Linked DNA regions of Drosophila melanogaster. The protein of the gene in region 2 binds, or shares a complex with, the protein of the main gene of each other region. Each region holds a gene or a part of one and is shown on either strand. Other genes may lie near its edges.

Region 1 (5,016 bases), on a different chromosome or scaffold from region 2:
AGGTAGTTAAAATATCAATTTGTTCATGAATGCAAAATTTGTGTCTAGCTGATTGTTTATAACAATTGTTATTATAGCTTGGTCCATATAGAAAAACATACTTAATTAAATTCGAGCTGGTTATCAGCGTGCTATCAGCATGTGTCATATTTTATAATAAATTTTCTTTTATGACCTAATCCTTGGTTCTTTGACCGGCCTTGGCTTTTAAACCAATGTGTTCGCCCCGTGCGTGATAACTTACCAAAATCAACGGTCTCCATTAAGGGCGCCACATGGGCCACCGGCTTACTTGCTTGCAGAGGCACAGACATCGGTCCCTCCAGGCTGCCCACTTCTCGCTCCAGGCACTCAAGCACATCGTCCAGGGCCAAGGCGTCTCCCACGGCCACCGTGTGCTTCCAGTGCTCGTGCCGCATGCGTAGCACCTGTTCGGAGTGCTCGCACCGCCGCTGGAAGTCGCGGGCGTCGTGCAGGCGACGAAGGCACAGGTCGCATATCACATCGGTGAGGTTGTCGCCGTGCTCAAGGCGCAGGGCGGGAGCCAGGGCCTTCAGCTCCACCGCCAGCTGGCTAGAGGCGTCATAGAGACTGTGGTAGAGCGGCGGCTGCTCCAGCAGGCAGCAGCGGCAGACGAGCGGGTGGTGCGGCAGCAGCGAGAGCATAATACTTAGTTGCCGAAATCCGGACGGACGATCGCGGTTTACACTGTGAGTTCAATCAAGGAAGCCCCGATCTATACGGACGATTGGCATAGTTGTTTTCCTTGCGTTGTAGTCTTAGCTCAGTCTACTTGGGTTTTCATTTTGAAATCGGATCTCATTACGGTTTTACCACAGGCTTAATACTTCGTGCGTCTGCTCGGATCGCCGGTCGCTGGACGTCTGAGGGTGTGGATCCGCATCTAATCCACTCCTCAGAGCAGCGATGTCTATCAGGAAAGGCGACCGGGGCACACCGATAGCCCTTGGCTTGAGCGATAAGTCAGAGGCGGCGGAGGCGTCGGTTCGTCTGAGGGGTGGGGGCGCAGAGAGACAACGGGAGATTCGTCTGAGGAGAGGGGTGTCGTAGGGCTACTATCGACGGTCAACGTCAACGTTTGCTAATTTTCAGTTCGTTCCAGCTAATTGATTGCCCCGGTGGACATCCGCCGACTGTCCCTGAACCGCGATAAGGCGTTATTATCTCGGCATTATTTGGGTGGTCCACATCCCCGACACCCCCACCACCTTTCCACTACCATCCTCCGCCGTGCCCTCTTCGTCGAGATTTGAACAGACCGAAATAGATCTGTACTGGACCTTATCACCGTCCGTAGAGATCATCATTCCGCCGCGGGTTTCCCAGCACTGTTGTTGTATTTACCGCAAACTTTTTGGTGCTTAAACGGCCAAAGGAGTTGGCGAAATGACTCGCTTTCTCTGAAAATCACTTACCAAAGGGACTAAGATCGGGATGCTGGAAAAGAATGCCGATCAAGCGTTGCCTATAAGGTTTTCGGGCAACGCAACTGTGTAGAACGGGGGAAGCCTTAACGAAAATCATTTGTTTTCGGCACGAGCTTATAATGATCTTAATCGCTGGATGCGATGTTTCTAGACTCCAAAGTTCAGGAGCCGATACTAATTTAATAATTTCTACCGAAGGCTTGCTTTAGTGTGACCTACATCCTCCTTTTAATGAAAGTTCAATTTATTAGGTGGTGTAAATAGCAAAAGGCACCCAAAATAACAATTAAGTGATTGATTCAGTCAATTCAGTCAGTTTTTTGTCATTGTTCACTGATCCTGCATGCAAGACAGTTTCTCGCTGATCTCCAGCTGTGTTTTTATCATTGTGGAAAGAGTGATGGCCATGAGCATATCCCTCAAGTTAGTATTAAACATGACGCGAAATTTGTCCGAGTCCAAAAGCGGCACGGCAGTGAGAGCGGCGTAAAGGGATCTCCCGACTACGTTGTCAGGTTTTTTCTTCCTGGCCAAGACATCGTTGATGTAGCGCAGCACCAAGTCAAGGCGATGTTGCATATCCCTAGTGGCATCCACCACTTGAGCCAACTCTGGGACGAAGCGCTCCATTTGCTTGCTTGCCTGTTGCTGCGATTGCTTTTCTATGCAACGCAGAGCCACCAAATCGGAATTTTCGTTGCTAATCTCCAGTGGAACTAATGAGAACATCAGTCCTTTGGTGCCACCAGGCACTCCCATCTCCACAGCACAGTACAGTCGGGTCGAGAGTCGCTGGTTCTTCAGGGCTGCATCCACTAGCAGGTGCAGTGGCTGTCCTTCGCAGCATTCTCTGACATAATAGTCGTGGATCAGGGACGCGGAGCGGGACACCGATTTCCCAGTGCAGAACCAGCCCAGCACACGCTCGTTCGGATAGGCGAACATATTTAGCTCTAGGACCTCGGAGGCATATGCCATATCCAGATCAATGCGTTTGTTCTCCGAATGCTCCTTGTGCGGCACAGTAAAACAGTTTGTGATCTCGATGTGGCCCTCCTTGTTGCGACCCAGCAAAGTGCCCATAACCTTTGGTTTGATCATTACAAGATTAGTGGACAGGAGATGAATGCGCGCACACCTACCTGATTGTCACCTTTTGGTCGGCGATCGTATGCGTCAATAATTTGGAAAAACACCAACGGCTTTAGATACACCTTAGCTCGCATGCTAAAATTCCTAGACATCATGAGTTACAAAAAAAATTAAGTTGGAAAAGAAACTTAGCAAAGCAAACTTGGCTGCGCTTGTGCCTCCCCTCGATCCAGTGTTGTAAAATGTAAATATAACTTAAAAGGGCACGTGCCAAAATGTGCTCACCTATTTCGTTGCCTTGCTATTTAGAAACTTGCCTATTTAGAAACATTTTGAAATGGTAAACAGAAAAAACAAGCTTAAAATAATTTTAAATTAAGCATCATACATTATTTTACAGTTGTGTATGCTATAAGAACATAATAACAAAAATTAAAAACATTCTGCCTTTTTACCATATATGTATATAGTTTAAAATTTAGTAAATGTCTGTTAAAACGACTCTTAATTTACGTGCATGAGTTTGTTACGGATAGCCATGGGTATTTCGTGTATCAATACCTTGTGAAATGGGAATCTCACCAAGTATCAATGGCAGTGTTCCTTGCTCCTCCCATATTTCGCATACGGCATAATGACTTTAATTTCATACTCATACAAATTTCAATTGGCGCCCTATATTAAAAACTCAGTTAAGGTGGTAAACAAATCAGACTGGTAAAACGTTTACATAGCAAAACCAATGAGGCCATTTTGCATGGGAACTAATTTATATATTTTTAATATTTTAAAAAAATATATTTATATAGCCGTCAATGAATATTGTTACCCAAATTCGTGATAATTCTTCTTTTATGTCGAGTGTATATTTTATTAGAAAATGTACAAGACTTTTAATTTAAAAACTATTCCCTGCAAAGTAAATTCATCGATGAATAACCAAATATGCATATTGCTATAAGCCCAACATATTGCATTATAAAAATCGGCCATCTACGGCGTAGATCTTACACGCAGGTCTTGTTTGAAGCAAGAAGAATCGATTGTAAAACTCCCGCTTCTTAAAACGGTTTTAGCTCGATAACGGAATATTTTATTCAATCCTCGGCAATTTCCATCTTATACCTGTCGGTCGTAAAGCATAAGGGTAAACTAGATAGATTGCTAGAAAAGGATGTGTCAGGTAGGAGGAAGCGTATCCCGTCTTGTAAAGTAAATCCTCCTACCGTGCATCTGTCTGCCTATCTAAATGAATGTAGAGATCTCGGGAACTTATCTAGGGAGTGCATTAAGCATGCAGATTCTAACAACACCACTAAAATTATGTTACTCTAAAACGTAAATTTAAGTTTATTCTTAAAAATCGTTGATTTAAATTTTTATACGGATTTCATAAGCTTTAATTAATCATATGTGGTTAATGTAAATGCAAAATGGGCTGGATAAGAATGTTAATTTATTTATTAAGTACTAAAAATGTAAATTCCTTAAATGGCAACCATGTTAAACATAAGCAGAGATTTAATGAATGCAGACCGTGAGCACAAATCACAAATTAAGTGTGAACTTGAACCTCCATCAAGATGCCTCCAAATTATTTCCGAAAGCGACAAGTGTAACGCTAAGAAAAAGTACACCTAGTAAGGCGATAGTTTTATATTCTTTTTGGAAAATATAAAAATTAGTACCATTAACAGCTTTGGAGTCCGAGTTAAGCCTTATTATTAAAGAGTTTGAATGAACATTTAATCTAACGAATTAACATTGTTACATACTCTTGTGTCAAACAATTGTTGCAAAATGTGATATAATAATAAAGTAATGGGACGTAAGATTGATATCTAAAAACTTAAAATAATTTATATAATTTTTTGTAATTTTTTTAAATTTCCCATCGATCTCTTCGATTATAAATCTACTATAAAAGAAACACACAATACTAAAAGTACATTTTATTATTTTCTTTTACTGCGATTCTTAAAAATTATATATTACTTTAGTTGCCATGTAAATATTAAGAAATTCAAAAATTGTTGGTTTTAAAACAGGAATATTAACTTTTTGCAGCGTCTGAATCTTTTCCTCGAATCATTATACATGGAAATAATATTGTCACGTCCAACATGTCACGTTCGACATATCATTGCGTGTGGATTAAATAACTCGATTGAAGTAACCAGTTCTGAAAAGTTAATTATTTTTCTAAAATTAATTATTTGAAAACATAAATGGATTATGGGAAGGTACGTGCTGTTAAACCAATGAACTTTGTCCGGCCGTAGTGAAGATAAAGTTATATATAAGTATCTATCAATATCTATTTAACAATATTAAAAAAAAAGGTAGACTGCTACAGTCGACTTCCCCGACTATCAGATACCCGCTACACAGATGGTAGAAATGCGAACGCAAAATTTCATTATTATACTCGTTATTCGTAGAGTAAAAGGGTATACTAAATTCTTTGAAAAGTATG
Region 2 (5,527 bases):
GAAGTACTTCATCCACATCAGCAACGAGGAGCTTCGCAAGCTATTCAACGAGGTGGTGGCTGTGTTCGACTACGAACGCTCTGATGTGAACACCGAGGAGCTGATATCCGGAATTTTCGATCACGCCAAGGACTCGCTGTGCGCTCATGTCCATATGGGCGACTCCGAGGTTGTGAACCGCACCCACTTCATCGTCGCTCACATGTTCAAAGAGCTGATTGAGGTGCTGCCGCTGGAGGAGTTCCAGGCGGACGAGACCCTGCGCATGATTGTGGACGTGCTGGAGCGTGAACCGATGGTGGATCCTCGAGCCATAGCCGTGGAGCAGCTGATCGATAGCACGCTCCAGCACGCCCGGGAGAATCTGATCGATGGGATTACAGCGGTGCCCATTCGCAGCCTGGGAAGCTCCATTCAAAGAGACCTGATAAAAAGGCGGCAATATAAGCAGCCCAGTTGCGAGTCGCCCATGTCGGTGAGGATCGCCACGAAAAAGCCAGGAACCAGCAGTGGGCTTCCTTTCTAGACATCCATATCAAATACTTTGGTAGAAATTCAAAAATTAATTATTTTTGGAACTTGACAACATCGATTTACAAAAAGTAACTCAATACATATTTTTTTGTAGACTTCACTTTGAATTTCGAAAAAGGTGACCCAAACATGTATATTTTACCATAGAACATCTTTAAATCTGATTTTGAATTATTTGTAAAAGCGTGTGTTTCAATAACTGGCGTCCTAATAGCACAACTCAAAAATTTACTAATAAATTGTGAGGGACATATTATTCCCATTTTTTATTTATTTTAAAACGCCAAAGAAATAAAATAGCAATTCGCGTGCAGAAAATAAATTTCGAATAAATCCAGATCTGACGGGAAAACTTTACGACATCACTAATCTCGATGAGCTGACAACCCTGTTTGTGACTCAGAGAAACTGCAAGTAAACAAAGTGCAACTTCAAATTACAGACGAGATAAGATGTCGAAGCCATCAAAAGCAGGTCCACCAAGCGAGGGAAGTGCTCCCGCTTACGACTATCGCCATTCCGGCGATGACATGGCCATGGTAATAAGTTAATTTGATTATCAAATACCAGTCGCCATCTAAAGTTTTGCGACTTCTAGCGAGCTCCTCCGCCAACGTATGAAGAAAGCCAGCGAAACGGCGGCACCGGTGCTGGTGCCTATGGCTATCCACAAGGAGGAGGTGCTCCGCCCAGCCAGAATCAGTATTACGGCATGATCAGCCACCAGCAACAGCAGATGCCCTTCAGCGGGCAGCCCAACTACGGTATGACACATGGCAGTGGCTTCGGACTTGCTGGTCCCAGTACGTCGGCAGGAGCAGCTGCAGCACAGGTCCTCCACTTGGACTCACGGGCCGAGGTGAGGACAAATTCCAACGGAAATGTCGTCATTCCGCCTCCTCCGCCGGGCTGCCTGCCCACACCGGCTCAGTGGGCGGCCATGCAGGGTCAGCCTGTGGTTCTCAAGCAAAAAAAGCGTTCCTTTTTTTAGGTTACACATGGCACACCATTTACTCGAATATAATCATGTTGTACCTCTTTCCACTCCTTTGATGTTATAAAAATAAACGACGCGATCCGTTTCGTTTCGTCCTCGCGTATATTTGAAAGTTCCCTAAGCAAACGAACATGTCGCCGGTGAAATGGTTATGTTAAGTCCACCGGCTCTGATCCTACTAAATCACTACTGGATACAAACTACTCGAAGATGTTCTCAAAGTATGTACTATCGAATGTCTGGACACGCACGAAACCATCTTCTCCGCCCGAGGCGTAACTCTTGCCGTCCGGATGGAAGGCCAAACTGTTGATGGGTCCGAAATGGCCCTTGAGTCGGGCGAACTCCTCCTCGTATATCAGGTGGAAGAAGCGCGAGTCAAACTTGCCAGCCTTCGTAGACGTAGTGGTCACCTCCATGGCATCTTGACCGCCGCCCAGCACGACATGATCCATGATTGGGCTGATGGCCGCCGAGTTTACTGGACGCTCCGTTTTGTAGGTCTTGAGGCACATCAGGGACTCCGAATCGAACAATTTGGCGGTGGTGTCCTTGGAGGCGGTCACAAACATGGTGCCATCCTTGCTCAACTGCATGTCGTTGATGCCAGCGCTGTGATCCGTGCCAGAGTCAACCACCTTTTGACCCTTACGGATGTCCCAGATGGCAATGTTGCCATTATCGTGACCTGGAAATACGGGTTTTAAACGGTTTTCATAATAGATTATCGGGTAAACACCAACCTGTGATGATGGTCTCATCCAGAGGACCCCACAACATCGACGTAATTTTGGACTCGGTCATCGGGATGCGGAGTGTGGGCTCCTGCTCCGACAACGAGGAATCGGCGTTGCGGACATCGATGAGGAACAGTTCACAGCTCTGTCCCATCGCTTTGTCCGTTGAGTAGGCTGCCTGGTTGCCCGAGAAGCTGAAGTTGCTGGTGCGCACCGATGACTTGGTCGGAATGGAGGCGATAACGGTGCCGTACTCGACGTCCCAGATCTTAGCGGTCATATCACCGGCGCCGGTGATGAGCTTACGGCTCTCCCAGTCCACATCCAGGCACCAGACCGCACCCTGGTGACCATCGTAGGTGCCCAAACGTTCTCCGTTCAGCGAGTACCACACATTGGGCTTCTGATCCTTGGAGCAGGAGAAGAGCAGGTCGCCCTCGCGGTTGTACTTGATTTGCGTTATGGAACGCTCGTGGCCCTGAAGCATCAACGGACGCTATAAAAGACAGAATAATACGAATTTTTAGCAACAATTTAGGCCGCTTTTAAGGTTATGTTTGGTCCGGAATTTCACACGACTTTCACACTTTGCAAATAGTTGTAATTTCGGGTAAATTCTAAAGAAACCCATCCGGAATAATGCAAACTGTGTAGTCATTGACCAGGCACGCACCATTTTGTATTATATTGTTATTTGTTGCGAGAAAACGAATATTTTTGCAACAACATCCACGCAGCACTACACGCCAAAAGAGCAGTGTGACCGTGGCCTAGTCAAAATCTCACTTCGATATACCAGGGGGATCTAAAAAATACCGTTAATCAAGTTTATTTTGAACAACCAGAAATTTTTACAATCTAGAACTTAAGGTATAGCCAATATAAACGAAAATTTGGATTTAAAACTTGATATACATCAAGTAAAAACCATATTTTATGCCATACATTAAGTAAATACAACGAAACAACATTTGCCTAGCTTAGCCAGCCTAGCTGAACCATCCCTTTTTGTTCATTGAATTCCACTTGGCTATGTTCACCAAAATGGATGCCACACACTGGTCCTTGTCCCGATTTTGGCCGTAGTAATCGACAAACTCGCCATCGGGATTGACCAGGTACATGATGATGGTGTGATCCACAATATAATCGTTGTCCTCGTCCCGCGGTCCAGCGCTGAAATAAACCCTGAAGGCCTTGCACACTTTGCGGATTTGTTCGACGGTTCCCGTGAGTCCCAGCAGTTTGGGGGAGAACTCTTTTACGTATTTGGCCACCACCTCTTTGGAGTCACGTTCTGGGTCAACGGTGATAAAGATGGGCTGCACTGCTGGCGTTTGCGGGGACTTTTCTGTGAAGGTTTGAGAAACATGGTTTTTTTTGGGTTTGGAAGAAATAGTCAGGCTCTACTTACCAACTTCATCGACGACGGCGGCCATCTTCTCTAGCTCATCGGGACAAATATCCGGGCAGTGGGTGAAGCCAAAATAGATGAGCAGCCACTTGCCTAAGAAGTCCTCCGATTTGCGAACAGCTCCCTGCGAATCAACTAATTCCCAACTGCCGCCGATGGCTGCTTTTCCCAATTGCCGCTGACGCTCCTTCATTCTCGCCTCATCCTTCTCGCTCTTCACGTACAGCATGAAGCCCACTCCTCCGGCTCCAAGGGCTCCAATGACGGCCAGACTTCTCCAAGAGATCGGACCCTTGCCTTTAGTGGAATCTGCGGGAGCGGCATAATGACGAATTGCGGGCTGTTGTGCCCAGCGACGACAGCTGCCCACTAAGCGTTGCAGGGAGCGGGACATCTTACGCCCGGTTTCAGAAATTTGAAGGCTTTACGTAAATCTTCTGGAGAAATAAAAATATCGCCGGTGTCCTGCTGCTTCTTCCTATTCAGCCAGTCACGGCGAAACAGCATTTATTTAGTACATAAAGTATATTTATTTAGTATATTAGTTAGTTTGTTAGTTAGTTTGGTATATTTTGGTATTAGAAGGCGGTCTTATTGATTCCAACACGTGCGGTTCAATTTTGTTAAATTATTTAATAAAAACACCGGGGCAAATGGCAAGCAAAAATCGCAAGGAGCCGCTTCTGTACATGGAGGAGTATCGGGTGAAGCAGGATCCGCAGGACTATGGACTGGCGGACGATGTATTTTCCGTTCAGGCTTTCAAGGAAAAGCTGCACATCAAAATCGTCAGGTAAATCTCAATAGAAATTAGAATCTTACGAGTCGATTAACAATTGGTGTTCACTTCTAGAAACGACGAAGACGGCCTGGAGTTCGATCTGATTGGCGTGTATCCCGCCATTGCAAATGCCTTCCGTCGCCTGATGCTCAGCGATGTGCCCAGCATGGCCATCGAAAAGGTGTACATATACAACAACACCTCGATCATCCAGGACGAGGTACTTGCCCATCGAATGGGTCTACTTCCGTTGCGGGCTGATCCCCGTCTATTCGCATACCGCACCGAGGAAAGCACTGAGGCGGGGACCGAGCAGGATACGCTTGAATTTGAGCTGAAGGTGAAGTGCTCGCGGCGACGGGATGCTGGAAAAGATCAGTCCAACTTCGATGACATTTACAAAAACCACAAAGTGTACTCGGGTCATCTGAAGTGGCTGCCCAAAGGAAAGCAGGCGCAGATATACAGCGAGAGTGCTGTGAACTGCATTCACGATGACATACTGATTGCCCAATTGCGTCCGGGTCACGAGTTGGATCTGCGCCTGGTGGCGGTTAAGGGACTTGGACGGGATCACGCGAAATTCTCGCCGGTGGCCACGGCCACCTACCGACTGCTGCCCATGATTAAGCTGAACCGCGAGGTGACCGGTAAGGATGCGTACCTATTACAGAACTGTTTCTCACCAGGAGTAATTGGCATTGACGAGAATGAAACTGCCTATGTAAAGGATGCACGCTACGACACGTGCAGCCGAAATGTGTATCGCTATCCCCAGCTAAACGACGCTGTGACTTTGGCCCGTATCCGAGATCACTACATTTTCTCCGTGGAATCAGTCGGCGCACTGAAGCCCGATGTCATCTTCCTGGAGGCGGTCAAGGTATTGAAGAGAAAGTGCCGGGCGCTAATTGACGAAATTGAGGCAGAATAGTTATTTATTTAGTTGTTAAAGAAATTATATTATGTACATAAGACAGCTTGATATAAATTGTAAGCCTACGAAGATCGTGCTTGCTCTCTCTTGCGCTTGAGCACCTTCAGGCGAAATTCCGTTAGGACCA

Evidence for each region. The genes of interacting proteins can lie anywhere in the genome.
Region 1: eIF3i (region 2) and eIF3f2 share a complex: the UniProt entries of both Drosophila melanogaster proteins name them as parts of the eukaryotic translation initiation factor 3 (eIF-3) complex.

Annotation. Positions count from the first base shown.
Region 1 is NT_033778.4:6,198,596-6,203,611, reverse strand, and holds eIF3f2 (eukaryotic translation initiation factor 3 subunit f2), read right to left. Parts: upstream 2,760-5,016; 5' UTR 2,696-2,759; coding exon 2,591-2,695; intron 2,535-2,590; coding exon 1,779-2,534; 3' UTR 1,656-1,778; downstream 1-1,655. Other genes in the region: CG30431 (uncharacterized protein), read right to left, coding at 245-665. UniProt on the Drosophila melanogaster protein: Component of the eukaryotic translation initiation factor 3 (eIF-3) complex, which is involved in protein synthesis of a specialized repertoire of mRNAs and, together with other initiation factors, stimulates binding of mRNA and methionyl-tRNAi to the 40S ribosome.
Region 2 is NT_033779.5:4,964,750-4,970,276, forward strand, and holds eIF3i (eukaryotic translation initiation factor 3 subunit i), read right to left. Parts: upstream 3,027-5,527; 5' UTR 2,945-3,026; coding exon 2,942-2,944; intron 2,765-2,941; coding exon 2,275-2,764; intron 2,220-2,274; coding exon 1,732-2,219; 3' UTR 1,618-1,731; downstream 1-1,617. Other genes in the region: CG34124 (uncharacterized protein), read left to right, coding at 1-526; CG34125 (uncharacterized protein), read left to right, coding at 987-1,073, 1,133-1,525; Scox (synthesis of cytochrome c oxidase), read right to left, coding at 3,258-3,619, 3,683-4,076; Polr1C (RNA polymerase I and III subunit C), read left to right, coding at 4,336-4,475, 4,536-5,397; l(2)05714 (lethal (2) 05714), read right to left, coding at 5,463-5,527. UniProt on the Drosophila melanogaster protein: Component of the eukaryotic translation initiation factor 3 (eIF-3) complex, which is involved in protein synthesis of a specialized repertoire of mRNAs and, together with other initiation factors, stimulates binding of mRNA and methionyl-tRNAi to the 40S ribosome.